4 linked regions of the Rhinolophus ferrumequinum genome follow. The protein of the gene in region 1 purifies or fractionates together with the protein of each later gene. This does not show direct contact. Links are inferred from orthologs where the notes say so. Each region holds a gene or a part of one and is shown on either strand. Other genes may lie near its edges.

Region 1 (7,574 bases):
GCCATACGAAGGTGGAGACAGAGACTGGAGTGGCGACAGGCCAAAGGACACTTGGGGCCACCAGAAGCTGCAAGAGGCAGGAAGGACCCTCCCCTACAGCCTCTGGAGAGAGCACGGCCCTGCCCACACTTGACTTCAGACTTCCAGCCTCCAGCACTGGGAAAGAATAAATCTCTTGCAGCAGCCCCAGAAAATTAATGCACCTACTAAGAAGGATTTCGAGGAGACCACTCAGACCCTGATGAATGTTCCCTGGAACTGAGGGGACAAAAGGGAAATCCAGTATCTGACTTTTTGCTTTAGAATCGGCAAGTGGGAGCTGGGCTGACAGCCTAAGACAGTGGGGCAGAGACACAGGCTGAGCTGTCCCCATTCTCTTGTGAACCAGAGGAGAGGCGGGCCGTGAGGGACAGTACCAGCCTGGAGCCCTTTTCAATCCTGCCCAAGAAGACTGACTACCTGGCGGAGGAGGCCACTCTCAATACAAGTTTTGAGGCCTGAGCTGAGGGAGGCTTTCACAACAGATAAACTTGGACATTTGACTACCACACTGAACACACCACTAACTCATCAGCAGCATCTGACCAACCACGGATTCCTCCCTCAGCTCCCAGGACAGCCCTCTCCTAGTTTTCCTCCGACCTCACTGGCTGCTTGTGCTCGGTGCCATGCACTGAATCCTCTTTGGTAACCCAGCCCTTCACACTGTGATGCCCCGGGGCTCTGTTCTAGGATCTCTTCTCTTCTCTGTCCAGTCCCACCAGTACTAAGCATCCAGCCTCATGGCTTTAACCCCCCACCTTAATGTCAATGATGCCCCAAATTAGACCTCTTTCCTCAACGCCACACTCACATATCAAACTCAACATCTCCACTTGGAATCTAGGAGTCCTCTCAAAACTAATCTCTCTAAAACTGTTCCCGACAGTTCCCAAAAGCCAGGTCCCGCAGCCTTCTTTCGTGTCAGCTGATGGCAAATCCATCCTCTCGTTATCAGGACAAATACCATGGAGTCCATCTTGACTCCTGTCTCTCACAGCTCACATCTGATCCATCAGGAAATTCTACCAAAATATATCCCAGAATCGATCTGATGACACTAAGCAATTAATGTTAACTATTTTAGGTGGGATATGGTATTGTGGTTGTTTTTTTTTTTTTTTCAGTCCTTTCTTAGAGATGCATACTGAAATATTTACGCATGGTGTCTGAAATCCACTTCAAAGTAATGGGGAAATTCCTAGGTATATACCCAAAAGAAATGAAAACACATGTCCATACATGAATGCTCACAGCAACATTACTCATGACAGCCAAAGAATGGAAACAACCCAAATGTCCATCAACTGATGAATAATCAAAATCTAGACATGTTACAAAATGGATGAATCTTGCAAACATTATGCTAAGAAAAAGAAACAACTCACAAAAGACCACATATTGTATGATTCCATTTATATGAAAGGTCCAGAATAGGCAAATACACAGAGACAGAAAGATTAGTGGATGCTTAGAGGCGGGGGAGATGGGGTGATGGGGTGACAGCTAGAGGGTGCAGGGTTTCTTTTTGGAGTGATAAAAATGTTCTGGAATTAGTGGGTATGGTTGTACAACTCTAAATATATTAAAAACCAGTGAACTGTACACTTTAAATGGGTGAACTGTGTGGTATGTGAATTATATCTCAATAAAGCTGTCATTAAAAAGAGTAATGGGAGAGGATTGTAAAAGGTATAAATTAAACAAAATTGGCCACAAGTTGATAATTGTTGAAGCTGGGAGGTGGGCACATGGGATTTACTACACTCTTCTTCCTACTTTTGTACGTCTTTGTAATTTTTCATAATAAAATGCTCATAGCACCATTGTCTCTCACTTGGATTACTGCAACAACCTCCTAACAGGTCACCCCTGTTCCTACCCTTGCCCCATACAGTCTGTTCTCCCCACCTCGGTCAGAACAATCCGCCTAAAAGGTAATTCCAATCATGTCCCTCCTCTAATCAGATCTCTACCATGCATGGTTCCTCATTACCCTCTGTGTAAAAGCCAAAGTCCCTACAATGGCCTACAAGACCCTGCACTATCTGATCCCTTACTGCTTCCTCTCCAAGTACCTCACTCACTCTGCTCCAGCTATAATGGCCTCCTTGCTCTTCTTCCAACATGCCATGATGGCCCTTTTATCCTCAAGTCACACAAACGGTATGAGGTCGGGCTGACATGAATCGTTTTTGAAAAGTGAACAAACGGAGGCACATGAGATAAGACACTTAGCTGCCAACTCTATTTGAGGTCTTTTTAAAGAATTTAACCACCTCACACACAAGCAAGTTTGAACAGAAAATGTCTCCGAACTACAAGAGTCATCCACGAACTATGGGTGTGGTCAGACTCCGCGGCAGCGGAGGAGGGACAAGCGGAAACAGTCCCGCTCGCCTCCAAGGCAACCTGGGTCCTGCATCGGCCCGCCTGGGCCAGTACTCTAGAAGCGGGTGGCAGAAACGGACCTGGGCCCAACAGGAGAGGGAAGCCTAGACGTCCGGGGGAAATCTAGGAGGCGGCGGAACGCCCACCGATGGTACCCTGTCTTCGGGGAAGAGGACCACACCTTTCAGCAGAATCAGTCCGACGTAAGAAGGGCGGGAGCAGCGGGCCGCGAGCGCTCCTCGGGCCCCGTCGCTCCGAGAAAGTCCCGGTTCCGCGGTCGCTCTTCCCTTCTCCCCCACGAAATTCCCACTTCCGGCTTCCGGTGTCGTAACTGTGGGATCCGGAAGTAAAACACGCAAGCCCCGCCCCTCCAAAGAGGCCGGGAATAGATGTGAGGGAAGCTGTTCCAAAGGGAAGCCTGAGCCCGCCACCCTCGGCCGGCCCGCAGGACGCTCCCCAGTGATGTTCCCCACCCGCTACTTTCCGGGGCGTCAAACCCACACTCCCCCTTGTCTCTTGAGCGGTGGCACCCAGCCTCCGGGCGCTCGGCCGCCCCGCCCCTGCTAGGGGAGGAGCCACGAAGAGGCTACCTCGCAGGACAGGTTTGACCGGTCCGGGAGGGGGCGGGGTGAAGACGGCCCCGCCCATAAATGGGGGTCGAGGAGGCGTGGCCACACTGCCGGCGGAAGTGAGCCCTCCGCGAGGGCGCCGGGCCGCCGGGGGCGGAGGGGCAAAATCAGAGTGTAGGGGCGGGGTAGGGCTGGCTATGGAGACGTGGGCGAACGGCGCAGAGCTGCTCGCGGACTCGCGAGGCATCGGGGACGCGACACAGCGGCGATGGGCACAGCAGGCAGCGGCCGGCCCAGGTGCCCAAGGGATGGGGCGGGCCAAGGGAGGGGACTCCGCGGGAGGGGAGGCTAAGATGCGCGCGCACCTGCCCTGCCCCCCGCGAGGGAGGGGCCCATGGAGGCCCCGCCCGCGCGCCTCGCCTGAGGCGGTCAGCTCAGCTCAGGCGCCCGCCCCCGCTGGTTAAATGGACCCGCGGGTCGCAGCCCCCGGAAACGTCCGGGAACTCCGGGGCTGAGAGACCAACTGGCAGAGGCGGACAGGAAGCTCAGGTAACGAAGTGGGCGGGCGCCACACCGGTGTTGGGGTGTGCTGCGCCGCGAGGCCTTTCGATTTGCCATGCTGGGGAGCCGGGTAAAATCAGAGAGTCTTAACGCTTTCCAGTGGACCCCTGAGGAGACTGAGATCGTGAGAGGGGCAGGGACTTGCCATGATCTCCCAGCTTGGTAGGAGGAGGACTGGAGCTGCAGGGTCTAACATGCTCCAGCTTGTTGTGGGGTTTCCGCCTGATTCCAGGCTGAGATGAAACTAGCATCGTGCGATGCTCCAGCAGGGGTTTTTTTACCCAGTTCCTCAGAATTGAGACTCTCGTTGGAATCCACTAGTGCTTTGAGTAATTTTGTAATGTACACTGTGAAAGAAGGCTTCCTGGGGAGTATGGCCGGAGCTCAGAGCCAGCAGCTTCTAACCCCCCAACCATCCTACCTCCCCCCATTCTCAGCCAGTGGTTTCGAATAATCAGACTTCAGCTGAGTGAGAGCCCGAAAGACCCCTGAAGAAAGGGGCCATCTTCTCAGAGCTCTTCTGTTCTCGTGCCTTGTCAACAAGTCTTTCTTTCACCAGAGAGCATCATGGCAGAGCAGGTGGCCCTGAGCCGGACCCAAGTGTGCGGGATCCTGCGGGAAGAGCTGTACCAGGGTGATGCCTTCCATCAGTCCGATACACATATCTTCATCATCATGGGTGCATCGGTGAGTCTCCCCCAGGCCCCACATCTTAAAAGTGTGAAGTTGCTTAAGGTCTCTTCCTGCTGGGTACCTGAGCTTTCCCAACTGGTTGCCGTGGGGCCACACAGGCTCAGCTCAGTTAGACTCTCCTTCTTACTCCTGCTCGTGTGCCATTATCACCCAGCACACCTGGTATACACACACTGTGAGGCATTTCTGAAACCTGCAGAGCCGTTGAATGTAGACCCATGTCCTGGAGCTGGAAGGTCCTTAGGGACTGTCTGATTGGATTGCTTCCTCCATGGGGAAAACTGAGATGCAAACAAGGGAGGCTATTCATTCTGTGTGTATCTTTCTCAAACTTGTTTGTGACTTGACAAATGTCACACAGTCAATTAGTTCCAGAGGCAGGATCTGAGGCCCAATCTCCACCTTGTCTCTCTACCACGTCAAGTTCCCTGGGGACAAACACTCAACCTTTCTTTGAACACTGTCTCTTTGCCCCAACTTCCAAGGCCTGCTGAGGAGCTGTGACCTGCCCCATTGTCTAGCCAGTGGCACTGCCATTTTGCTCTGATAGGAAAGGCCATGGCCCCTACACTAAGGCCCCCTCCCGGTGTACCATGTGGAAATGAGATCTCTGCCAGGCGGCAAGATGTGTGCAGGGCCTGGTGAGATGAGTTGCCAGGGCTTCATGTCGAAGTTAAAGCGGCCTTCTCTTTTCACGTTGAACCCTGAATGTGACGAAGCATCTGCTAAGCATCGCAGGACCATTTTTACCCATAACTTACTGTATAATCTTGAGGGAGAGTTCTACCCAAACTAGTCAGCTCTTGACGGGGAAGGCATGGTCTCTCTGTGCCGTCCACATCATGCTCCCCTCACTCTGGAGGACCTTGGTTCTTTGTTCACGTATCAGCGTGCCACTGTCCTTTGCAGAGGCTGCCCCCTGCCAACTTTGGGATTCTGATTAGAACTTGGAAAAGGAGAGCCAGAATGCAGGGAGGGAGGCAGAGTGGGGGAGAAAGGTTCTGCCGGTGGGAGGGAGGGAAGGCCTGCACTAAGCACTGTCCTCTGGCTCCCCGTAAGTCCACGGCTGGGGAGTACACAGTAGCAGCACACAGGGGGCAGATGTGACGTCCACCTTGTCTCCAGCCTGGTCCCCTTAGAGGAGCCATACCTGTATTGGCCACAAACCTTAACACCAAGGACTCTGACCATTAGGCCCTTTGTCCAAGAAATAGTTTGGAGGAGAAAGTAACTCAGGATTAGTTCTCTTCCTTCCCTCCAGTCACAGGATGCCCCAATAGAGCGTCCCAGGCCACAATAAATGGCTTACAATTCCAGACCCTCAACTCTTAGACATCTCACTGAGATCATCCAAGCTTGCTGTGTGACCTGGGGCAAGTGTCTTCCCTTCTCTGAACCTCTGTGTTTCCATGTAGCAAATGAGGGCTTTTGAAGCAAATGCCAAGGCTTCCTTGGGCTCTGCCGAGCTGATTCTGTAGCTCCTCATCATTGCCTTCCTCTGTGGCCAGCTTGGGGTTGGGCAACTTTGTTTTCTTGCAATTGGTGAGGTTCCCCTTTGCTCCCCTCTGCTCTGAGAGCAACAAACAGAAGCTTTCAGAGCAGAAGTGGGAAGTGCCACTTCAGTGCGGTGGAGTGGAGGAGGACAGGCTGTGGGGAGGGGATCCTCCGAAGAAGAGCCTCCTTGTTTGTTTCTCCATCCTGCAGTTCAAGGGGGCTGGAGTGGGGTAGGCGGGCCTCCCATGCTCAGGCAGCACCTAGAACAGCTCCCAGAAGCAGGCCTCCCATGCCTGCTCCCTCCATGTAGAAAGTAGGCACGGTGGTTCTCTGGGAAACCAGTTAGTTCTCTGCTTATTCAGGCATCAAGTGGCGATTGAGTACCTCCTCTGCAGTGCAGTGACACAGGCCCTGCCCTCCTCATGGGACCTGTGTGCTGGGGGACTGGGACCCAAGGTGAGTTAGCAACCCAGTAAGATTTCAGAGTGGCGCATGTGACAGAAGACACAAACGGGCCCTTGTGTCCCCAGCCCCCCCTCCCCCCAGCACACAGATCTCCTGAGGAGGGCCTTCAGAGCAAGGCCTGCAGAGCCAGGGCCCAGGGAGGACTCTACACCAAGGGAAGAGCAGACACTGCCCAGTGGCTGATGGGCACCCTGGGACAGGCTGAGCCCATGTGGCCATCCTCTGCCCCTTCCTCCCTCACTCACTTACCCAACCATCTTCTGAACACCCAGCTTCCTTCCTGGGGGCATCACAATGCTGGTTCACAGACTTACCCAATGGGCTTGGGGCTGTTTGCTGTTCTCTGTTCCCCCCACTATATAGCCACTTCTCCCCATCTCAGGATTCCCACCCCCAAGCAGAAAGGGAGTGGAGGTACTTACTGTCCCAGTCTAGAAAACTCTGGAATGAAAGCAACCAGTTTCTCCTTACAGACCAGCGCAAGGGGAGGAACCTTGGGCCTGGTCCATTATGTCCTCCCCCCATCTGATGGGGCCTCGGCCAGACTGGAGTGATGCTTCCCTCCAGGGGATGTAGAGAGAAATGGGGGTGAGAGAAAGAGATAGGACTGCGACTCTGCCTGGGCAGCACTGGCTCACTGCAGGGGCCTCAGTCTCCCCACCTGCACCACAAGGGCCATGGGCTCACTGAGTGCTCAGAACCCATCCCAATGACGGGCCTGTGCAAGGAATGACCTGGCAGCCCCAGCCCCTCCCTCTCCTCAGGATCTTGCTGGGCTGTCTTCCCCCTTGGGCCGGTAAGATTCTTGCTGTGTCATGATGATGTCGGCACCCCCCCCAAGTCCTGGTGATTCATGAACCCCACGATGGAGGAGGGAGGCTCTTTTTTATAGCCTCGCCTACCCCAGCGCTCTCACTGCAGTGGCCACGAGCCAGCTGGGCTCCAGCCAGAGCCCGGGCTCCACCCTGGGGGACCCAGCAGATCCTTGACCTGACTGACCCTAGGGGGACGGGATGGCCCATCCCTGTGGGCCCTCTAGCTGGCAGCCAGCCTCTGGAGCTCTCTGCCACGCCTACAATTCTCAAAGACAGATATCGGCAGTGGTGTGGCCTTATAACACTGGAGACTGAAGACAAAGCTGGGCAGCCACAGGTGGGTGGTGGCCCAGGTTCCTTTGCCCCAGCCAGGCCACATCCTGGTGGCTGGAGAGCCTAATCAGGTCGTGCTTCTCCAACTAAGTCACCGTGTCCCCCATCCTCACTGTGGTCGTCGGGCAAAATGAGGGGGCTGGGAAAGATTGCCACATCTCACCAGGAGCCCCTGTAATTGCCCTGTCCCCACACGTGGATTGCTTCAATTTGG
Region 2 (7,594 bases), on another chromosome or scaffold:
TCTGGGTGCCCAGGCCCAGCGTCTGGGAGAACAAATTCCGCAGGAAGTCCACTGGCCAAAAAGAAGAGAGGGGGCGGCTGAGTGGGTGTCAGCCGGGGTGCACAGAGGCCCTGAGTGCCCCTGCCCCAGCCCAGGGATCCTCTGCCTTCCCACAACTCAAGGCTCCATGCCTAGCCCAGCCAGGGGCTTCTAGGTGCTGGCACAGAACCATTATTACATACCTTGAATGAGGTGAGGCATGTCACCCAGACCCCTGCCCTACACGGCCCCCCACCAGAACCGGCCTCCCAAGGAAGATACTCACTCTCCGCTTCTCCGCCAGCTGCTCCTCCCTCAGTGTCTGAATCTGAGTCCTGGAAGGGGTGGAGGTGGGGTGGCCAGGCCCAAGAAGTGAGGTTAGGGAGTAGGGGGTGGGGTGACAACCCAGTTTGGGAAAAAGGCCCTGGCTGGGAGGTGGGCCTGAGGAAGTGCAGGGCAATGGAGGAACAGCTCTGGGGGGCAGTGTGGGGGCTCTGGGACAGGCTGCCTGTGCAGGGGACCTGGCCTGTCACTCCCAAGGAGCATAATCTCATGCGAGTGATTTCATTTTTCTGAGTCTCCGGGGCGCCTCCTCTTGGAGATGGAGCTCAGAGGGTTCCCCTCAGGAGACTGTTGTGAGATGAAATGAGTTACTGTGTGAGGTGCTCAGGACAGCACCCCGCGGGGTAAGAGCTCAGGAAGCGTTAGCTGTTGCTATTTCATATGCCACGTCCCTATCCTCCCCCTGTATCTCTCCTTGTCCCCTGTAGTGTAGGCTGCTGCCCCTTCGCAGCACCCCGCAGCCCTCCTCACCAAAGGCACTTCATAATCATGGAATAATGCCGGTGAAAACACCTCGGTCCTCACCCTGCGTCTGGAAGCCCCAGATAGCCTTTGCAACCTCTCCATCTCCTTTATCAGCTCTGCGCATTGGCCAGGCTCCCAAATTGCAGGTCTTGGAACTCTGTCTAGGGCTCTCCCTGCTTTGTCTCTCCACCTTCCCTGGGCGAGCTGCCTCATCCATGTCAGTGATGATGCCACCTCTCTGTCCCCTGATGCAGGGTTCCCATGGCCTCCTGGAGGCTTTCCCCTAAGGGGTTTCAGGCCCCTCACTCCCACTATGTCCCAACCTGGCCTCAGCATCTCCCCCAAGCTTGCTCCTCCACCTGGGCCCCATCCAGTGTGGCCTCCCACCTCCTTCCCCTGCCCTCCCACCATATTTGTCCCCTCCCCAGGGCTCTACCTGGTCCAGTCTGTCCTCTCCCCACAGAGGCCCTTGTCCCAGCCTCCTCCCTAGGCTGCCAGCCTTAGTCTCCACCTGCAATCTACTCCATGACCCTCCGCATGATGGCCTGTCTGGGACGGCCCACTCCCCTCCACGGTCCAGGCCCTTCTCTTTGGTGTCTCCAATCTAATCACATGATCACGGACATCTACAGGGTCCACCATGAGGTCAGCTCCACGAATGCAGGTGTTTTTCGTGTTCGCCACTGAATGTCCAGCACCAAGAATAGGGTCTGACACCTGGCAGGAGCTCCAGAAGTATCCACCACTGAATGAATGGATACCTGCTGTACACTAGGCTAGGGCTGGGCCCTGCAATGGATCCCGTGTAAACGCAATTCTCACCCACTCACTCTCCTGCTTAAAACTCCTCCAACAGCTCCTCTCCCTCATCACACACTATCTGGTTCCAAGTCTTTTTGAATCGGAACCTCCCTCCCAAACATTGAAAATTTTTTATCGCTCTTTAGATTGTATAAGCTTTGTAAAATGTCTGACTATTAGACAATGTACAACTTGGGGCACCTGCCTCATAATTCCCACTGCCAGTACCCCGTTGAGATAACCACTATTAACAGTACAATGGTAATTACTTCAGATTGTTTCTCTGCATGTAAAACTCAGTATTTTTCCAGAAAGGGGTCATACCATAGCACAATGCAGCACCGTGCATCTTCTGCAGAACAAGATATTATAGACCCACCTCATTCTTTTAAGCAGCTGCTTAGTGGTGCATTGTAAGGAGGCCCCATAGTTCATTTCACCCATCTATGGACAGCCACTTGGGCGGTTTCCAGTTTTGCCCCATATGGACAATGCTGCAATTTACATCCTCAAGTCTCTCTCGTTGGGACTGAGGATCCTTTTTAACATTAAACCTTTTCTCTGACAGTGGTCCTGCTTTGGGAGCCAGGCAAGGGAGAAGCCCTGGCCTGAAAGGAAGCTCTTATACCCTCTGCTGTGAATCTATCTGTGAGGTGCTTTAACCACAGCTTCTGCACTGCCTACATCTGAACTGCGATCTCGCGGCTGTGGGGGGCTGGCATTCTTTCAGGCCACAGACAGTGAGGCTCTGTGGATAGACTCAAGGGCCCTGCCCAACACACGGGAGCAACTCGGCCTAAGCGGGAGCTGGAGGTACTGGCAGGGCCTTCAGGCCTCTGTCTGGCAGCCTGTCTACCCCTCTCCGAAGCATCTGGAAAGCAGTGTGCTGGGTGCTGTGAGTTGTAAGCCTTTCTCTGCTCTTCTAGCCAAGGGACAGAGGACAGGATACTTAAGAACTCTGCCTCAAATTCCTCATCGATAAAATGACCACAATAGGACTTGACCCCCACAGGGATGCTGGGAAGATGAAATGAGATGATGCCCATAAAGTACCAAGCAGAGTACCCGGCTGAAGTTAAGTACTCAATAAATGCTAACCATGCATATAATTAGCTGACCACCCCAGCCAGTGCCTACTGCACACATCACATTCTTCCATGCTCCCAGGTCTTTGCACGAGCTGTACCCTCTGCATGGGACACCATTTCTCACTTTGCCTAAGAAAATTCGAAGTTGCTCTGCACATACTACGATGTGTCTCTACTTCAATCTGACCCCTAGACCAGCCTGTAGATTCCTCCAGGGGAGGGACTGGCGGGAATCTCTGGGCTCCCACAGTGCCCTGAGCTACCTACACAATCACCCCATAGGGTCATTTTCTAGTCACTTGTCCATGAGATCTGTGAGTTCAGGGACTAAATTGGATGTCTGACTCCTCCAGGACCAGCATAAATAAGGTTCAGAAGGGAGAGGGCGGGCAAGGAAAGAGGAAAGTTCAGGAGGGCAGGCCTGGGGCTGAGGCTGCACCCCCTTCTCTGACAGTCCCCTGAATCCACAATTCCTCAGGAGGCTGAACTGGGAGGTGGGGCAAGGGGTTGGGGTAGTGAGCTGAGGGCCCTGGGGTAACTCTCCCCTCTGTCCCCTCCCCCCAGGGGAGTGGGATGTGGGAACAAGTGCATCTCTCTCCTTCCCTCCACCCTTCCCTCATCTCACCTGAGCCTCCTGCACCTTCCCTGCCTGGGTCTCCAGAGGGTCAGAGGCTGGGGGAGGAGGGGGAGCACATGTGGTTATAGTGGAGGGAATCGTTAAGGGGTTACGAAGGGCTTCAAAGCAGGGGTTGGGGCCGGGCAAGAAGACCCACCAACCTAGTTATACTGCGGTAGAGGGTAATGGTAAAAATGGAGTAAAAGGAAGAAGGGGATGGGGAAAAGCAGAGTGGAGAGTGCCGGGAAGAGAGGTGGTTAGTGAGGGGCAAAGGAGCTGGGACAGGAAGGATTAGGAGAGGAAGGAGAAAGTAAAGGATATATGGTATAGAGGAAACCTTAGGAGGAGTTAGGAAGGACATAGTAATAGTATGTGAGCGTGTTTGCAGGGAGGGTTAGGTTTACAAGCAGAGATAAGTTTAGAAAGAAAGAGAGAAGAGATACTCCGACTGGAGGTGGATGTGGGAGACGAGGTGCGCTGGGGATGGTATGTTTAAGAGAGGCACAGGAACTAGAGGGAAGAGATAGGAAGGGACACCAGGGGTCCCCTAGCATTCTACAGTACCCCCTAACAATCGGGTACCCTTAGCAACCGGGACCGCGGCAACCTAAGTCCTTAGCAACGAGGGTCTTTGGCAACCCAGGTGCGAGAAACATGCGATCGTTAGTAACTTGGGAGACATGGCAAACGAACCCTTAAAACCTCGAGACCCAGAAACCCACAAACCTAGCAATATGGATCACTTAGGAACGGCCCCCCGAACCCCACTCCTCCCCAGGCAGCCCCAATTTCCTGCCCACCACGCCCGCCCTCGGGTCCCGGGGCCTGCAGCCCTCAGCCAGGCCCCGGCTAGGCCCGACCCTCCCACCGAAGCCCCCGACTCACGGTCCGGCTCGGCCATGGGCGCGGGGCGGGGGCCCTCGGGGCTGTCACCGACTGCTCGGTCCCGTGACGGCACCGGAAACAGGAGGAGCAGAGATAGGGTAGAGAACTACAACTCCCAGAAGTCATCGAGGACGCATACACGCTTTCTCACAACCTCGGCGCGCGCCCCTCTTAGGTAAAGCTACAGGCGAGCCGGACTACGAGTCCCGAAATGCCCAGCGCCGGCAGCCATGTTGGTAAAGGGCGCCCGGAAAATATGAGAACGGGTCGAGAGAGTACATCTGAATACTCTGATTGGTCACGGTGTGGTATGGGGCGGGGCTAGAGCTATTTAGCCCACTCTGATTGGATGAGCCAGGGGGGAGTGTTGGGGAATTCCCCGCAGGGCGGAAGCGCCAGTGCTCCAGGGAGAGCCCAGAGACAGGCGGGCGGCCGCGGGGGCCCCTGAGGCTTCGGGGGCCATGGCCGGGGTCGCGTGCTTGGGGAAAGCTGCGGATGCCGACGAATGGTGCGACAGCGGTTTGGGCTCTCTGGGTCCCGACGCAGCGGCCCCGGGAGGACCAGGACTGGGTCCGGAGCTGGGCCCGGGGCTGTCGTGGGCACCCCTAGTCTTCGGCTACGTCACTGAGGATGGGGACACGTGAGTGAAACTTAGGCTGCCAAACCGGGCTCTAGGATACGACATCTGATTTCCTATTAGTCTCTATCTCGGCTTCCCAACCTCTCCTAAATCTGACTTCTGATGCTTGACTTATTGATCTGTATGTAACCCACAGGTCCTAACCTTTAAAAACACCAATCTACTATCCAATTTTGATCCCAACGCAATAATTTCTGACCTCCTTTCTTGAACTCTGGATCTCAGAGTTCCACATTCCTATCCATTGATCCCAAAACTCTATTTGGTTTTCCTGACCCCAGTTCTGAGACCTTTATTAGAACTGTAGCTCAAGCAATCTCCTTCTGACCTTTAACCTCTCCAAATATGGTCTTTGATCCTTAGCTCCTGATTTAGGAGCGTTAGACCTTGATTTCCAAAATTAATACTTGGTCTTTGACTTTAAGATCCCATCTTCTGTGCACTAATCTTTACATCTCATATTCAAAGAGAAAATGTAAGCTCCATGGTAACAGGGATTCATCTGTTAAACAAATATTTGTGGAACACTACCATATTCCAAGCCCTGTTTCAGGTGCTGGTGATAAGACGGTGAACAGACAAAAATTTACACCTTATGCCCTGTAGAGTGTACATTTGGGGGAGAGGGGTATATAGACAGAAAGACTGACAGAAAGATAGGAGGAAGGAAGGAAGGCAGGGATGGAGGGGAAAAAAGAAAAGAAGGAAAAAAGGGAGAGAGAAGGCAGGAAAGAGGGGGAGAAAATAGAAAAAGAAAGAACAAAGAAAAGGCAGGAATAAAAAGAAAGTAAAGAAAAAGACACAAAATAAGAAGGAAGACAGGAAGAAACAAAGAAAACCAGAAAAAGAAAAAAGAAAGACAGGAAAAGGTAGGCCAGAAGATAGTAAGTTCTTTGGAGAAAAATCAAGCAGGAAAACGAGACAACCAGATTACTGGGGAAACCACTCTGGGTAAAAGAACAATGTTGGAAAGGCCCAAGTGAGGGATTGTACCTGGGGTTTTTGTGTGTTGTTTTCTGCTGTATCCCCAGTGACTGAACAGTGCCTGACCCATAGGTGGCACTCAATAAACATTGATCTCAAAGAACCCACTTGGCTTCATTAATTCTCTAAGTCTCTCTCTCTCTCTCTCTTTCTCTCTCTCTCTCTCTCTTATTGATCTCTGTTCTGACTTCCATTATTTTCTTTCTTCTGCTTACTTTGGGTTTAATTCTTCTTTTGCTAATGTCTTAATGTGGAAGCTGAGGTCATTGATTTGAGACCTTTCTTCTTTTCTATTATAGGTGTTGTGTGCTATAAATTTCCCCGCGTATTGCTTTAGCGGTGTTTCACAAATTCAGACATGTTGTGTTTTTATTTTCATTCAATTCAGCATACTTTATACTTTCTCTTCTGATTTCTTCTTTGGCCAGTGGATTTTTTAGAAGTATGTTAGTTTCCAGATATTTGGAAGACTTCCCAGATACTTTTCTTTGATTGATTTTTAATTTAATTCCATTGTGGACCTAGAACATAACTTTGTATGACTTGAAAGTTTTTACATTTATTAAGAGTTGTTTACTGGTCCAAAATATTGTGTGTGCACTTGAAAAGAATGTATATTCTGATGTTGTTGGGTGTAGTGTTCTCTAGCTGTCAATTAGAGGTCATGTTGATTTATAGTGTTCCAGTCCCCTATAGCTTTGCTGACGATTGCTGTCTACTCGTTCTATCAATTATTTAGAGACGGGTATTGAAATCTCCAATAAGAATTATGTATTTGTCTATTCCTCCTTGTAGTTTTATCAGGTTTTGCTGCATATTATTTGACACTCCATTATCAGGGGCACAAATGTTTAGAATTATTCTGTCCTCTTGATTCATTGACCTCTTTATCATTATGAAACAGCCTTCTCTATCTCTGGTAATATTACTTGCTCTGAAATCTACTTTGATATTAAAATACTTCCTACTGCTTTCTTTTGACTGATTGGTGTTAACATGATATGATATAGCTTACTCCACCTTTTATTTTTAACCTCTTTTTTAATATTTATATTTAAAGAGTGTTTCTTGTAGGCACATATAGTTGGGTTTTACTTATTTGGTCAATCTGACAATTTCTACCTTTTAATTAGAGTGTTTAGACAATTTGCATTTAATTATTGATATGGTTAGGTTTGAGTTTATCATATTGTTACTGGTTTTCTACTTATCTCTTCTTTGTTTCCCTTTTCTTTTTCTCCCTTCTTTTGGAACAAGTACATGTTGTCCCATTATATTTCTTTTGTTGGCTTGTTAGCTTTAACTTTATGTTTTGTTATTTTAGTGGTTTCTCTGCAAGACAGGGATGGCAAACTCTGGTCTCGAGGCAAAATCCAGCCACTTACCTGCTTTTGTGTAGCTGTGAGTTAGGAATGGTTCTCACATTTTTAAATGGTTGAAAACAAAAAAAAGAAGAATATTTTGTAGCCAGTGAAAATTATATGACATTCCAATTTCAGACTCCATAAATAAAATTCTGTTGGAATATAGCCCCAATCATTCGTTTCCATGTTGCCAGTGGCTGCTTCCACATCACCACAGCAGAACTGAGTAGATAAAAGAGAGAACACATGATCCACAAAGCCTGACATATTTATCTGGCCCTTTACAGAAAATGTTTGCTGACCCCCGCTTTAGAATTTATAGTGTGGGGAGCAGCCGGTTAGTTCAGTTGGTTAGAGTACGAGCTCTTAACAACAAGGTTGCCGGTTCGAT
Region 3 (8,000 bases), on another chromosome or scaffold:
GGGTGTGTTTTGGCCCTGGCAAATTGTAGTGGGGGAATATAGGTAAAGATAGCAAAATCGGCACAAGAAGGCTGAGTCATTAGAGAGAGGTCTGTGCACTCACATGGGCTGATTGAATCTGCTTCCAAGAGGTTATACATCAGACAGGCAGGGAAAAGAGGGGTCTGGCCTGAGGCTCAGACAGGCCAAGGATTTCCAGTGCCTTCACCTGCCCCTTCCTGCTCCCATGTTTCGTGGCTGCCCACCAGCCACTCTGGGCAGGCTTAGTAAGAACACTCAGGCTATTGCTCTGTTGCCCAGCCCACATCCAGGGACGTTTTTGTCTTGCCAGGACCAAAAGATGCCACTACCAGGGATGTTCTTCTCAGAGCCAGATGCCCTGTTGGAATCGAAGGCATCTGGATCTGAGAAGGGAACGCAAGCATCCAACCCTAATCTCAGCTCTCCCTTCACCGCTCTGTGACCTTGGCCCAATCATTTGAACTTCCTGGGCTTTGGTTTTCCTAGGACTCAACTTCTCTCCACAGCCCCTGACCCTCACTCTCCCACCTCCCACACTGGCCACAGTGTTTTATAAAAAAAGAACTCAGGGTTCTTTGAGCTCTTTGGAGTGACCACAAAAATGCAAGGCATTATTAGCATCATTACTATTAAATATTAATAATGACATTAGCATTGTCTATTATAAGCCTGAAAAAGAAGCTCCAAGAGCCCTGGGTGGAAATGGCTAAGAGAATAATTAGGCCCCTCCAAGCCACCGACCCCTCCAGGCCCTCAGGTGAAATTAGGAAGGCAAATGCAGACAGAATACTGAGATGTCTCTCCCAGCACCCCCTGCTCAGTTCAACTTGGCTCCTCCTGGCCCCACACAAATCGTGCTCTTTCCAGTTCCCTACACCCCATGCCAGGACTGCATTCTCACCTCCACTCTGTCTGTCCAGCTCCAGTTCAAGGCGTGCCCCCCAACCCTGACTGAAACCTCACCCACCTCCTAGTGCCTTCTCTCCCCGTCATCTGAACTGTTACAGCAGTATTCTCCTCCATCTATTCACTCAGTCAACAAATATTTATTGAGTCTCTATTACGTGCTCAAGGCATTGTGCTAAGCAGTGCGGGGGCTTAAGGGGGCTGGGAAAATAGAGACATTAATGAGATAATCCTTACCTTCGGACACTGCACAGGGAATAACCATCAGTATTTTATTTGACACTTGGCTAAGTGCTTAAACCATCCTAAGTAGGAGTAGGATTATTCCCACTTTACTGATGAGGAAATGGATTCCCCCGTCAGTTAAGTATACTTTAGTGACCTACCCAATGTCATCCAGCTTGGAGTGACAGAGCTGAGACAGAGTCCAGTTCTCTTAACCACAAATCTGGGGCCACCGATTTGCAGCAGAGAAAGCCTGGCAGCAGGGCTCAGCCTCATAGTGTGTTTCAGATGGGGAGGCTGAATCCCAAAAAGTCCCAAAGGGAAGTACTGACGTTTATTGAGCACCTACTATGTGCTTGGCACTGTGCTAAATACTTCATGCATAGTTCAATGCTCACATCCATCAGTGACGTTTGTGTCTTAACCTGCATTTTCCAGATGAGGAACCTGAGGCTTTGATGAGGTAAGTGGCTTGCCCAGGGACACACAGCTCATAAGTAGCAAGACTGTGCACCAAGCAGGTCTGAGTTCAGAGCTTTGCCCAACCGGCTTTGTCACTCTTCCCTGAAGCTGCAGATGGACAGTCCTAGTAACGTTATCAGGCTGCTTCCAGAAAGATTACAGGTACTTTGAAGACAGACCACACCCTATAGCTCTTGAATCCCCTGATATTTTAGGTAGATGTTGCTCCATGACATCTGGTCATGGTCTCCTGGGAGCCATGGTCTCCTGGGACACATATGGTCTCCTGGGAGCTCTAGGAAAGGGGCTAAAGTCTGATGCCAAAGCCAAAGATGCTGGTGGATGGAGAGGGCAGGAAAGGAGGTATGAGGCTACAACTGATGCGGAAGATCCACATGGTCAGAGCCCTGGGGCCCTGGCAGGTCTCAGCTCCTCCCCACTGGCCCCTGGGGCCGGGCCCCATTTGGGGATCCACTGGACTCCTTTGCTGTTGATCTGGTGGGGCTGCCGGAGGAAGGAGCAGAGAGTCTCGGAAAGGTTGGGTGGCCCTCAAGATGCCTTCCGGGGGCTCCCGCTCCTGGGTCACCTCACGTTTCCAAGCAGGTTAATGGCCCATTTGATTAGCCACCTGATCATCTTGACTAGCCCTTCTCTGCCCTTCTTGGGAGACTGGGGGACTCCACTTGGGGATGAGGTGCCCCTCTCTAGAAGACAGGGAGATATATTGATTAGCCACGGAGAGCAGAGGTGCCTCTTATAGTCAACTGTCCTGAGGATTCTGGGATCTGGCAGGCACCAAAACAGAGGACACCATCCTGTCCTCTATTGTGCCCAGCTCAGACGAGCAGGCAGCAAATGCCTGAAGCACACAGCATCATGGTTAAACCATGGATGCTGGAGCCAGACCCGAGGTCTCTGCTTCTCCACTTGTTTACTGTTTACTGTGAGCAAGTTCCTTAATCTCTCTGAGCATGTCTGTAAAATGAGAAAAATAGCATCACATATCCCTTGGGTGGATAATTTAGGTAAAGCACTTAATACAGCTCCTGACACACTGGAGATATTAAGTTATTATTAATAGTTTATTCACAATTAATAATGAAATTATAAAATATTTTGGTTATTTTCAAACTCATGGACACCACAAGCAAAACTCAGCCCGGAGCCCCAAACACCCACCCCACTCTCTTGTCAGAAGCAGGAGCACCTTAGAGGCTGGCAGTGATGGATGATCCCCAAGAACCCCCAAAATTCATCTGTATCAGGCTCAGGTGAGAACTGCAGACAGGTGAGAAGATGAAACTTTAGCAAATGGCTCCCCAAATCCAAGACTAGGCCTAGTAAGCGCTCTCATTTTCACTTCCTGTGGCTGCTGGAGCCCACCTGGGGCAGGCAACCGGCTTGCAGTGGGATCTGAGAGACTCCTTGAGATCCACGTCACCTGCACTCATGGGGAGGGAACTGGGGCCTCGCCAAGGACCCAGCCCCCACCACGAGGGCAGCAGCTGTCTGAAAACAGTCACAAAGACAGCTGTCTCCATCTAAAGCAGGGGTGTCAAAACTGCGGCCCGCAATCCATTGTTAATTGGTCCCAGCAAATTCCAAAAATGTATTTAGTTTACTTAAATAAACCAGGTGAGGCAATACGTACTTCACCTCGAGTGAGTGGCCCGGCTGTTTGTGTATTTTACCGCGTATGGCCCTTGGTGAAACACGTTGAAAAATGTTTGGACACCCCTGCTCTAAATCAATCCGTGCATTTCCAGAGCCTTGGCCCCTGAGTCAGCCAATCCCCTGACCAGTCGCCTGATGGCAGCAGACATGCCACCCGGTCTCCCGGTAGCCGTTTTCTGCTTGGAGAGAACTCGAAGCCCTCTTTGCAGAGCCTGGGCTGACCTGGGTGGTGTCAGAGGGCACGGCTCACCTCAGGAGCTCAGGGCCCACGTGCCAGCCCCACAGGAAGACAGACAGAAAAGGACATTGTGGGCAGAGGAGGCAGGAAATGGAAGGTACGTAGAAGGGATTTGCACAGAGGCGTGCCAAGTCGTCCAAGACACGGTGGCACAATCAGATGTCTCTCCATCTGAAACAAAGCAGACTGTCTCCAGAGTTGGGAAAGCCCTTCAAGAGGGGAGTGGCAGGATGGGAGAGGAGGACATATCGGACTTGGGCAGGCATTCTGGGCCTTGGAGGCTGGGCAGCGAAACCTCCCTCACACCACATCTCCTTCTCCTTTTCCAGGCCCTCCCACTCGGGCCAGGATTGTCCCAAAACCTTGTGCCCTGCTCCACTCAGGATGACACATTGCAGTGCTCCAGGCTTGACAGGTACAGCCATTTAAAACTCTGAGGCTCGCCTGGCCCTGCCAGCTGTTTCAGCATCTGGACCGCTCACTGGTCTTGCCTGTGTGAGCTGGACAGCAGGTGGCCCAGAGGGGGATGAGACAACAGTGACAGCCTGATGGGGCTGACTGCTGCCGCAGATGGCTGGTCCCTCTACCTCCAGGCCCCAGCCTTTCTGGTCACAGCCCTCTCCCCATGACAGGAGAGATATTGCCAACCTGGGTGAGCATCTAGAATCTCAGAGCTGGCAGGCAACTGGCCATCATTAACCCCTTCGGTTTCCACGTGAGGCTCAGACAGGACAGGGTACGTAGCCTGGCACACAGCCCCTCAGTAGCACAGCCCAGCTTACTCTTCAGACATTCAGACCCCTAATCAAGTGAGCTTTTCGCGAATCACACTGCTGGTTGATTAAAAACAGGATTGGATCCATAAGTACTGATGTGGAAAGGTGTCCAAGATCTATTATAGTTAAGAAATATTCTGCAAATCATGATTTGTGATCCACTTTCATAAAACAATACTAATAAGCCATGTAATTATATACATGAAAATAATAAACCTGGAGGCATGTAACTCAAATTTGTTAAGGGACTTTCACTATTTTTAAATTTCCTCTAGTTTTACAAAGAGCTGTGTTACTTTTATAAGGAAGGGAAACAATAAAGTGAACATGTGGGGGTGGGCCAAGGAAGGAGCCCCTCCCACAACAAGCTGGGGATTTCTGATTTGCATCCCGCCCTCCAATAGGAGATTTCTGGGGAAACAATGAGTTTGGCTTCATGGGTCTCCAGGGTTTGAAGAGCAAGAGCCACTTTCTTTTCCCTGTGCACCGCACCCCTTTGCAGCCCCTTGAGCTCTGGGCTGGGCGGGGATGGGGGAGTGGGCAGGCCAGACAGCGCACCCCGAGAGCTGAGCTGCCCATGCTGCTCATGCATTACGGTGCCCTGGCTTGCTCCCTAGTCCTTATATGACAGCAAATGAGGTAAAGCCGGGAGGGTGGGGACGAGAAAAGGAGTGGGAGGGGGGCAGAAGGAAGCCATCTCCAGGGCCCCTTAGCGTTGGCTGAGGACCGTAGCCAGCCAGTGAGCGGAGCCTGGGAGAGGGAGGAGCACATCTTGATGCAGAGATGCTGCAGTGGCTCTGGGCGCACACACACACACAAGCGCCCTCACCCGCTGCCGCCACCACCGCCACCGCCACCGCAGCTGCCGCCACCACACCAGGACAGCAGCGAGCAGCTGAGGGAGCAGGGAGGAAAGGAGGCCGGCCCAGGGGGCTGGCAGCTTGCTGGCTCCTGCTCACCACCTCGGGCAGCGCCTGCCTGCCCCAGCCCACATCCTTCTTTCACCCCAGGTAGGTGCCAACCGCTTTTGTTTCCTCCCTTCCAGTGGCTCCCCAGGGCGCTGTTATGAAAAGGGGCTCAGAGCTCAGTGTCCTTGCAACTTGGGAGGGGCTGAGGCAGGGCGGGAACCTGGCTGGGTCCAGTCTGACTTCTCACCCCAGTCTGGTGGTGGCTGCTGGGAGTGGAGGTCCCCTCCGCCCTGTCTATGTGGGTGGCATCCTGCAGGGCCCTGGCAGGCCAAGCCTGGCCAGGAAACTGGCCCCCAGCAGTGTGTCCAGGAATTCAAGCCACCACCAGCTGACAGCAGCAACTGCCTGCAGAGAGGGCAGCGCTAGGGACCCTGCCCTGGGCCCCCAGTCCAGGACCAGAAAGTCCCTGAGGCCAGGCCCTGAGCCCTGGCCTGCCCATAAATGTCCCTGAATGGAATTGAGTCTGACTGCCCCGACTCGACTTGAGGTTGCCCTGCGTCTGCCTCTGCAGGGTGACCTCTTTGCAAAGTCTCGCTGCAGTTTCACAGAGGAGGCAGTGGAGCAAGTTTGGGCAAAGACATGTATAGGAGTGGGGACTCAGGAAGGAGAAACTGAGGCAAGTCACCTCCCTAAGCGAGAGCGGCTGGGACTATAGGGGCTGAAATTCCTTTTTTTCCCTTCCCTCCTCCCCAACCCTATCTTCTCCTCAAATCCCTGCCCCTCATCCTCACCGGCAAGAGAGAAAGATTTGCATGAAGTTTGGCTTTCCCGTAAGGAAAGGGGCTGGAACTAGAGAGGGGGAAGGGCACAGTTTAGGAGGTCTAGAAAAACAGGGCCAACCGTCTCCCCAGCACCATGCAGACCAGAGGTGGGGGAAGCAGCTCCAGCCAGAGCTGAATCCCACTGCCTTCTCCAGGAGGGCTTCAAGGTCTGGGAAGCAAAAAAGGGGGGTGAGATGAGACAGAGCCTGTGGAAGGAGAATCCTGGAGCTACACGGTACAAAGCCAGGGGTGCTTCAGCCACAGACCACTGAGGGCCAAGCCTGTGCCCAGGGAGGAAAAGCTGTCAGTCAAGGTTGTTTGGAGGGTTGAGAATCCAGACAGACCAGGATGGGATGGGCTGTGAGTTCATGGCCACAGCCCTGGAGAAGGACGGGTTTTCCAGGAGCTAAGTTACCTGCCCTTAACTTCCCCGACTCCGTGTCCAGCCTGCAACTGGTCAGACCCTACCACACTTTCCTTTCTGCTTGACTCCCCAGGGCCCCCAAACACCCTTCCCAGACCAGCCAGCATCCTTCTTCTGCTCTGAGGGAGGCGGCAGCAGGAATAGCCCAATACCCCAGTCTGTCAGTACCCTCGTGACCTCCTGGGAAGCGGTCTGATTCTTCTCCTACCCCTCAGTCCACTTAGCCACGCGGCCTCTCAGTTACACTCAGAGGGACCAGATGAGCCACTGAGGATCCAGGGCAGCAAAGGGTGAGGCCCCTGTGGGAGAGGGGTGTGACCTGGGCTCCTGGGGGGCGGGGCGCAGGGAGATGGAGCCCTGACTCCTGGCCTGGAAAGACAGAGTTCTGCCCTTAGAGACAGCAGCATCTAATCCCTCCCCAGGTTGCCACACCAGTTAACTCTTTCTAGCCAGGCTGCAGAAACATTCAAGCCAGGTTTTTGCCACAAGGTCAAAGTTCTTCCTATTTTCCTGTAGGATCTATCAGGAGTCCCCAGTCAGCAAAAGGGAGGCAGGAGGTGAGACAGATGGGGAGGGGGTCTCTGAGCCCATGACATCAATGTCACCAAGGTCCACCTGTCTTTCTGGTGCTCAGCATGACTCTCAGCATGCACTTTCTCTGTGACTCTCTCTCATTCTCGTTCATCCTCTACTCCCCACCTGGCCAAGCTCTCTCTCCCCTCACACTTTCTTGCCTGGTCAAATGTACTGCACCTTCAGCCCTCAACCTACCCCCACACCATTCCCGCTGCCAGATTTCACTTCTTATGTAACTCCATTCCAGCACCTTGTCTGTCAGCAGCTGTTCAAATAGAGACACATGTGGGATGGGCCTCTGCGGATGGTGTTCAATGGGATGGCTGCACATATTGCCTTTGATGGACCAAACGTTTTCCTCAGGAGCGAGTGCACGGGACAGGCTGCCCTCAAAGCGGCTTCTCTGAGGCCACAGGGGAGCAGCTCGTCTGGGGTGGTTTGCAGGGTGCACGTCTTCCATCCCTGTCCCAGAGCATCCTCAGACCAAATGTTTGCGAGAACGTTCATCTCAAAGACAACCTACGCCTGCGTGTGGGTGCTATTTGTATTTTTGAAGGGATTCCTAGGACAAAACTAGGGCGTTAGCAAGAATGGGCTGATACTCAGGGAAAGAAGAACCAGAGCGAAGAATATGCTCTGTGGATTGGAAACTGGAGGGATTGGAATTAGATTGCAGGAGGCATTTCCTCACTAGGAAGATGACCCTGAGGTGAGACAATCTTTCCAGTGACTCTAAAAGGCTGTAGAAAACTGGGGTCAGGTCTAAGGTTAGAAACAGTCCTGCCAAGAGATAGAGGTTGGGCTAGAGGACCCTGTAAATTTCTTCCAGGCTCAGGTTATTCTCTTTCAAATGGTAACAGGTAGGGGTTACTAGGAATATGTAAGAAGACAGACATCCTTTTCATTCCCTCAGGCCTGCTGGCCACCTCTCATCCTTCTGGACAAACTCCCCCTGCCCCCCCCACTCAG
Region 4 (7,192 bases), on another chromosome or scaffold:
TAACTTTTTGTCTTAAACAGAATAAGCATCACCAGCTTTCCTTGCCCCCTCCTTTGTCCCTCTCTAGCCCCCAAGTTCCCAGTGCTAACCTTTTGTTATGTCAGTTTAATCCCGATTTCAACAGGTATATGAGCTTCACGTCCCCCAATTCTTCAACCTTCAGGGTGCCCCGGCTCTTCTCACCACAACTAACCTACTATGAACTATAACCCTCAGCATCCTAGCAGACTGGTGAAACTCCACCTCTCTTATCAGACTTCCCACGCTGGAATTCCCAGATTCCACAAATGCACGCCTTCTGTTGCTTGTCACTTCTTGGTAGGCAACTGCCCTTCTGTCTATACTAGCTTCACTAGAAATGTGAGTTCAGAATTTTCTGTTAGTTCCCCCAAAGAAAGCTAACACAGTTCTACAGCCTTTAACAAAACCTCACTGAAGGCTTGGGGTATCCACTACTCTTAGATTCCATCAGCCATGCTTCTTCAGTGGCAGGGCCTTACTTTCTTCTCTCATCACAAATAGGAGCCCTTGCTACCAGGCCCTTCCCTGTTTAGGAAAGGCCAGAGCCTTCAGTAACTACAGAACTAGTTAATAGCACCAGTTAACTAATCACAGATCTGGTGGTCTGACCCCCAAAGAAAACAACTTTTCACATTATTGTAAGTCTAGAAATTCAGAAATCTATGGACCTAGAATAATAGTATTTTGGATTCTCTTTCCGTAGCCAAAAGGACAATTTCCTAGAACAGAAAAAAATTATACCATTTGTCTGCTCATCTTTGCCAGTTTACAACTTCTTGATCCCATCCTCTATTGTTACTCCTCTGTGTGGCCAAATACTCCCAGATTCTGGTTTAACCCCAAACTCTGAAACTGAAGGTTGTTGTGAGGGTTCAAGTAGATAATCCATGCAAACAGTACACTGGTCTATTCTAAGTGCTTAATAAATGATAAACATTTGTTACTATCATTCACACCCAACATAGCACTTAACATGTTATTTGTGACTGTTCCAGAATGACAGTTCATTACGAGTTAGCCTTTATGAATAAGAACTAAATATCTGTCTTCTTTTTATCTTCTGGAACTTCTAGCAAATAATAGGCACTCAATAACTATAACTTTGAGTGAATGTCTCCCCTCTCAATTCAAAAGTATTTATAGAGTGTGTAATATAACTTCTATGCATGATACACTCTTAAGCTATGGTTCCTGTTCGCAACAGGTTTATAAAGAAGTATATGAATAATTACAGTACAAGACAAAGCTTAGTCACATGAGAAGTTAAAAGAACTGCTAAAGGGTTCAAAGGCAGACCAAAATCATGCCAATGATATAGAGTAATGGTTCAAGTGTGATCTGGGAAACCCTCATGCAGGTCCTGAGACCCTTTCACAGGACCCAGAAGGTCAAAATGATTTTTCATACTAAGATGTCATTTATCTTTCTCATTCACTCTGCCAGGAGTGTACATTGGAGTGTCTGGCATTACATAATCTGTGAGAGTGCAACACACTGAATGCAGAGGCACATAAACGCAGCCAGCCCTCCGTAGTTAGGCCAAGACATTAAAGAGATTTTCAAAATGTGAAACAGTGCGTTTTCTAAACTATTTGTTTTGGAAAAGTTTGTTTTTCCACATGTAGTTTCTGTTAACATGTAATGGGTTATTCTTTTTCAAGAAGTTAATATTTTAGAAATTTCTTAGTTTTAATTTCTAACATGGGAAATATCAGTATATATTATATGTATGGAATACATAGAACCCACATTAAAAACGCTCTGGGGTTTTCATAATTAAGAGTTTAAAGGAGTCCAGGGACCAAAAGTTCAAGAACCACTAGCACAGCGGTTCCAAGGCTGGTAGCAGGAAAATAGTTTTACTTATACATGTTCATAGCGAAGTCGTGAAAAGGACTTGGTAAGTAGGTTTGATGGAGGAAGATGGAGAGTTCAGTTTGTTTTTTCCACCATCCCCCTCTCCCTACATAAAAACCATCATGAACTCCTGCACCCCAAACTCTTCCATTACCTCTTTACCTGCATGCACTTCTCGCTAACCTTCCTCAGGCCTTCCAGGTCTGTGCCCGTGTCCCGCTAGTTTGCATTTGAAGTCCTTCCGAGTCACTGCCTGTCACAACGCTCTCCTGACAGCCTTCCTCCTCTCAATATACTCCTAGGTCAACCTCGACTTTTCTCTGTCAGCTCCCGGGGGGGAGCGTCGGAAAAGGGTGTGAACACCGGGGTTCAATATCCAAGCTCCAATATTCCCAGGGCTTTGCTGGGGGAAGGCTCTCTCTTTCTGGAAGATGACTGGAGTTGTCCCCACGTCCTTTCCTCCTTCCACATCAGCGGCCCTTGCACCGTCTCGCATGGCCCCGATGCTCTCCAGCATCAGGGTCCACCCTCCCACCAGGGTGCCCCCCCACACTGCCCTCGCGCCCCGAGCCCAAGTCCACCCCACGTGACCCCACCCCTGAGCACCGCCCCCCCCCCCACCCCCCCGGCGCCTCACCTCAGCCGGAGGCGCCCCCGACTCCCGGCCAACTCCGCCAGCCTCCTCCAACCGCGGCCCTCGGGCGCTCGGTCCAAGACCCCGCTGAGCCTCCGCAGCAGCGGCTCCGGAAGGCGGTTGAGGGTCGCGCTGGCCGGAGCTGGGAGCGGCGGCCCCGAGGGTGCGGCCGGAGGCGGCTGCGAGGCCAGGGGCGCCAGGGCCTGCAGCAGATCCACGCACCGCGACATGTCCCGCGCCGGCGACCCCGCCACTGCCGCTGCTCCCGCGGGCCACATCGCGGGTCTCGGCTCCAGCGCACCTTCCGCTCGCCCCCTCGCTCGCCTGGGCACCGCGGCGGCGGGGGCGGAAGGACTAATTCGGCGGCGCTGCACCGCACTCGGATGAGGAAGCTCCGCTCCCCGCCCCGCGGGAGACAGGTTTGCAAAGAGGAGCCGGGCAGACCGGCCGCGCCAGCCGCCCCAGCCGCCCCGAGGAGGCGGGGCCTGGAGGCGGGGGCGGGGCCGCCCACTGCGCGCGTGCGCACAAGCCGCGCGCCTCCCTGGCCCTCTCTGCCGGCTCCGCGCTCCGTGAGGCGCGCGCTTCAAACCTGGGGAGGTGGAGTCCTGGCGGAGCAGGAAGGGTTGGGTGGTTGCCGCTGTAGGAGGAAGCCGCGGAGGAACTACGCCGAGGCGGCTCCACTACGGCGAGGAAGCCTGTGGCGTCGGGGCTTCCCGAGACCGTGGGAGGAGGATTGCCTCACGCCAAACACGGGAGCACGCAGCTCTCCAGTTCCTGGCCGCTTGCTCCCGGGGCGCGCTCCGCTGACTCAGTGTGCAGGGCGACGCCACCAGCGCCCGCATTGGGCAACCTCAGCGGAGGCTTCCTGGTTTCAGGGATTGGTGTGTGTGCGTTGTGAAGAGAAGTGATGCCAGGCATCCGGATACTTAATGGAAGTTGCCCGAAATTTATGCCTTTTTTTTTTTTTTTTGTTAGCTAGGCTGTGGCCTATTTAAAACGAATGAGATGTTGGAAGTGATTGTTTTTAGCAGGAATCGCCTGGTTTCCTCCAAGTCAGACTGCCACCCACAATCTTCATAAATCAAAGCAGGCAACCTTAGAGAGAATATCCTCCCCTGGAAGGGTCCAGAATAGATGAGATAAATGCAGACGTCACCTAAGCTCGTTTTCCCAAGCTTAGCAATATTCAAGGTCGTTGTCCCATTGAAAACTATAGGGTCGTTTGGGACAAAAGCAAGCAATTTAACAAAGTGTGACCAGCCAGGTATTACCCAGACACAAGGCTTCCTGGCCCAATTTCTCGTGCATCAGCTTTTTCATCCCACAGGACAGCAGGATTTTTGGTAGCAATAATTTGGACACCCAAATTTTCTACTTTTGGGGAGGTAGATGCCCCATACAGTCTCCACCACATTCTAGTACAAGCCATTGGTGTACAGTGTAAATTCGGAGTTCAGAATGCAGTATAATGGCGAACTGCAGAACCTTTGGGTCCAGAAAAAGCTGCTCGATTCTAGTTTTATGACCTTGAATAAGTGACTTAATTCTCTGTCTCATCTGTTAAAATGGGACTGAAAATATAGTATATATAGAGTGGTTACCAGATTTAAAGGAGTTGATGTATATTAAGCACGTATTCTGCTTGGCTCATACATAGTGAATAATAACCGATAGCTATTATCCTTGCAAATGCAAAAGCTTCTTTCATACTGTTTGCCTTGGTAAATTTTTCCCAGTCACTTCCAGTGCCTTTCTGTTTTGTCCTCAATCATTGAACAAATATTTTGAGTCTATTAACTACATGGACCAATTATGGAAATCAAGTCTTCCAGTCTTTATTGGTCTAGTTTATGAGTCTAGTTTCTAGTCTTTTAAAATTGAGATTCAACAGACTTCCTTTTTCTAAGTCTACCATATGCAAGGTGTTGCTGATATAGCTTCTCGTATGTGCCTACGGGTTAAAGTGGGTACCTATGTACCCTGTGAGTATCCTTCCCAATTTGATCAGGGGCGTCCCACCTCCTCCCTTGCTTCTCCTATCGACTCCAAGACACCTAAGACAAGCGCCTTTCTTATCTCATTCTAGGCCAGATCCTTTTTTCCACCTAGCAATTTTATAACCTATGCATTCACCGCACTCCAGCCTCTACCTTCGGCTGACATTACCTTTTATGACTAGTCTTTTTCCCCTCCCAACCAAATGTTAATATTTTTATTATGCAATTTCACTTCTGTGGTTCTCTATGGGGCATAATAGTATGGTAGCAAGAATGTGATCTTTAGAATTTGCCCAGAATTTGAATATTGATGCAGCCACTTATTAGTGGTATGACTTTAAGTAAGTTATTTAACCTCTCAGCTTCAATTTCCACATCTGTAAAAAGCGGAAGATATAATAGTACCTGCTTCAAAGGATTGTTGTGAGACTTAAATTACACACACATATATAATAAACAGCAATATAGCTTCCTTTTCTATATATCAACCATTTATATAAAGATGGGAGAAAAACAGAGTGGAGAGCTGGCTTTTAAATGCCCCTTAAAAGTTCATGCATGTCAAGGGGATAGCCGGTTAGCTCAGGTGGTTAGAGTGTGGTGCTGATAACACCAAGGTTGCCGCTTCAATCCCTGCATGGGCCACTGTGAGCTGCGCCCTCCTTAAAAAAAAAAAAATGTTCATGCATGTCTATAGATAATATACTTGGGAGTTCTTCCTCATTATTTAAAAGTGACATAGATCTTTGTGAATCCAGACAATTGGCAGGAAGCTGTGGTTTCATTCTATGGAAATCCATTGATGTAATCTTCAAAACACAAGCCTTGAAACTGACTCATAGATTTTTTTCCCTTCACCCAATCTCTCTATAGATAGTACTCTAACTAAAAATGCCAGAGTGACATATTATTTTATATCTGGATAGGTTTTTTTTTTTTTTTTTTAAGATTTTATTGGAGAAGGGGAGCAGGACTTTATTGGGGAACAGTGTGTACTTCCAGGACTTTTTTCAATCAAGCTGTTGTCCTTTCAATCTTAGTTGTGGAGGGTGCAGCTCAGCTCCAGGTCCAGTTGCCGTTGCTAGTTGCAAGGGGCGCCCACCATCCCTTGAGGGACTTGAGGAATCGAACTGGCAACCTTGTGGTTGAGAGCCCCACGCTCCAACCAACTAAGCCATCCAGGAGGCAGTTCAGCTTAAGGTGCCATGTTAATCTTAGTTGCAGGGGGCAGAGCCCACCATCCCTTGTGGGACTCGAGGAATTGAACCGGCAACCTTGTGGTTGAGAGCCTAAGGGCCCATATGGGAATAGAACCAGCAGCCTTCGGAGTTAAGAGCACGGAGCTCCAACCGTCTGAGCCACCAGGCCGGCCCCTGGATAGGTTTTCAATGGCCCAGTGCAGGAGAAAACCTGCAGGTCTTGGGCTCTGTCTACAGCAGAGGGAAAGGAAACAGGAGTCTTGATTTAAATGGCGTTGCTTATTTCCTACCATGATTCCACACCAGCAGCCTTCATGGCCTCTGACACAGCCTGTGTGTGGAGGCGTCTCCGTCCTCTCTCAGACACAGGATCTCCACATCCCTTACAGCCCCTTCTTGCTGGCATCTCCCAAAGGATTAGGGGGACTTTCCCATTTTGATTTCATCTTTGGAATAGTACCTAAGCATCACACTAGTATTTCACATCCTTCCTTCACAATGAATCATCCGTGGCAAGAACTTATGTACTTGTTTAAATCCATTAATCAATTAATTAATTAATTCAATCATCAACAAATATTTATTGCATGTCTACCTTGTGCCAAGTTCTATGCCAAATACTGTTAAAGGATGGTTTTAAATTTTTTGTTTTTGTTAAGGCTCCTTTTTTTTTTTTTTTTTTTAAGAGCAGTTTTAGGTTCACAGCAAAATTAGGGGAAGGTACAGAGATTTTCCATATACCTTCTGCCCTCATAGCCTCTTCTTTTAGCGTCCCCCACCAGATGGTATATTTGTTACAATGAATGAACCTACATTGATACATCTTAATCACCCAAAGGCCATAGTTAATCACCCAAAGGCCACAGTTTACATAGTTCCCTTGTGGTGGTGTGCTTTCTATGGGTTTAGACAAATATATATTGAATGGCAATGTATCCGCATTATGGTATCATACATAGTATCTTTACTGCCCTAAAAATTCTCTGTGCCCCTTCTATTCATCCTTCCACCCTCCCAACCCTTTGCAACCAATGGTGTTTTTACTGTCTCCATATTTTTGTCTTTTTCACAATGTCATACAGTTGGAATCATACAGCCTTTTCTGATTGGCTTCTTTCACTTAGTAGTAAACATTTAAGGTTATTCCATGTCTTTTCATGACTTGATAGCTCATTTCTTTTTAGCATGGAATAATATCCCATTGTCTGGATGTACCACAGTTTATTTATCCATCATCTATTGACGGACATCTTGGTTGCTTATGAATTTTGACAACTGTGAGTAAAGGTGCTATAAACATCCATGTGCAGGTTTTTGTGTGGGCATGTTTTCAACTCCTTTGGGTAAATACCAAGGAGCAAAATTGCTGGATTGCATGGTAAGAGTATATTTAGTTTTATAAGAAACTGCCAAACTGTTTCCCAAAGTGGCTGTACCCTTTTGCATTCCCACCAACAATGAGAATTTCTGTTGCTCCACAACTA

What was found.
Region 2: the proteins of IKBKG (region 1) and NFKBIB purify together in Homo sapiens (affinity purification with western blotting; 5 studies listed by BioGRID and IntAct, with this or other methods). This does not show direct contact. The link is inferred for Rhinolophus ferrumequinum from reciprocal best matches to the Homo sapiens genes IKBKG and NFKBIB.
Region 3: the proteins of IKBKG (region 1) and CNTN2 purify together in Homo sapiens (affinity purification with western blotting, with the first as the bait; 3 studies listed by BioGRID). This does not show direct contact. The link is inferred for Rhinolophus ferrumequinum from reciprocal best matches to the Homo sapiens genes IKBKG and CNTN2.
Region 4: the proteins of IKBKG (region 1) and MALT1 purify together in Homo sapiens (affinity purification with western blotting; 4 studies listed by BioGRID and IntAct, with this or other methods). This does not show direct contact. The link is inferred for Rhinolophus ferrumequinum from reciprocal best matches to the Homo sapiens genes IKBKG and MALT1.

Annotation. Positions count from the first base shown.
Region 1 is NC_046284.1:6,116,181-6,123,754, forward strand, and holds the start of IKBKG (NF-kappa-B essential modulator), read right to left. Parts: upstream 3,016-7,574; 5' UTR 2,612-3,015; exon of another isoform or gene 2,511-2,611; intron 1-2,510. Other genes in the region: G6PD (glucose-6-phosphate 1-dehydrogenase), read left to right, coding at 3,197-3,296, 4,120-4,247. UniProt on the Homo sapiens protein: Regulatory subunit of the IKK core complex which phosphorylates inhibitors of NF-kappa-B thus leading to the dissociation of the inhibitor/NF-kappa-B complex and ultimately the degradation of the inhibitor.
Region 2 is NC_046298.1:38,185,646-38,193,239, forward strand, and holds the start of NFKBIB (NF-kappa-B inhibitor beta), read left to right. Parts: upstream 1-4,587; 5' UTR 4,588-4,676; coding exon 4,677-4,855; intron 4,856-7,594. Other genes in the region: SIRT2 (NAD-dependent protein deacetylase sirtuin-2), read right to left, coding at 1-51, 305-353, 4,216-4,341. UniProt on the Homo sapiens protein: Inhibits NF-kappa-B by complexing with and trapping it in the cytoplasm.
Region 3 is NC_046305.1:26,100,222-26,108,221, reverse strand, and holds the start of CNTN2 (contactin-2), read left to right. Parts: upstream 1-5,000; 5' UTR 5,001-5,077; coding exon 5,078-5,312; intron 5,313-6,528; exon of another isoform or gene 6,529-6,745; intron 6,746-8,000. UniProt on the Homo sapiens protein: In conjunction with another transmembrane protein, CNTNAP2, contributes to the organization of axonal domains at nodes of Ranvier by maintaining voltage-gated potassium channels at the juxtaparanodal region. May be involved in cell adhesion.
Region 4 is NC_046302.1:47,376,655-47,383,846, reverse strand, and holds the start of MALT1 (mucosa-associated lymphoid tissue lymphoma translocation protein 1), read right to left. Parts: upstream 3,012-7,192; 5' UTR 2,791-3,011; coding exon 2,516-2,790; intron 1-2,515. UniProt on the Homo sapiens protein: Protease that enhances BCL10-induced activation: acts via formation of CBM complexes that channel adaptive and innate immune signaling downstream of CARD domain-containing proteins (CARD9, CARD11 and CARD14) to activate NF-kappa-B and MAP kinase p38 pathways which stimulate expression of genes encoding pro-inflammatory cytokines and chemokines.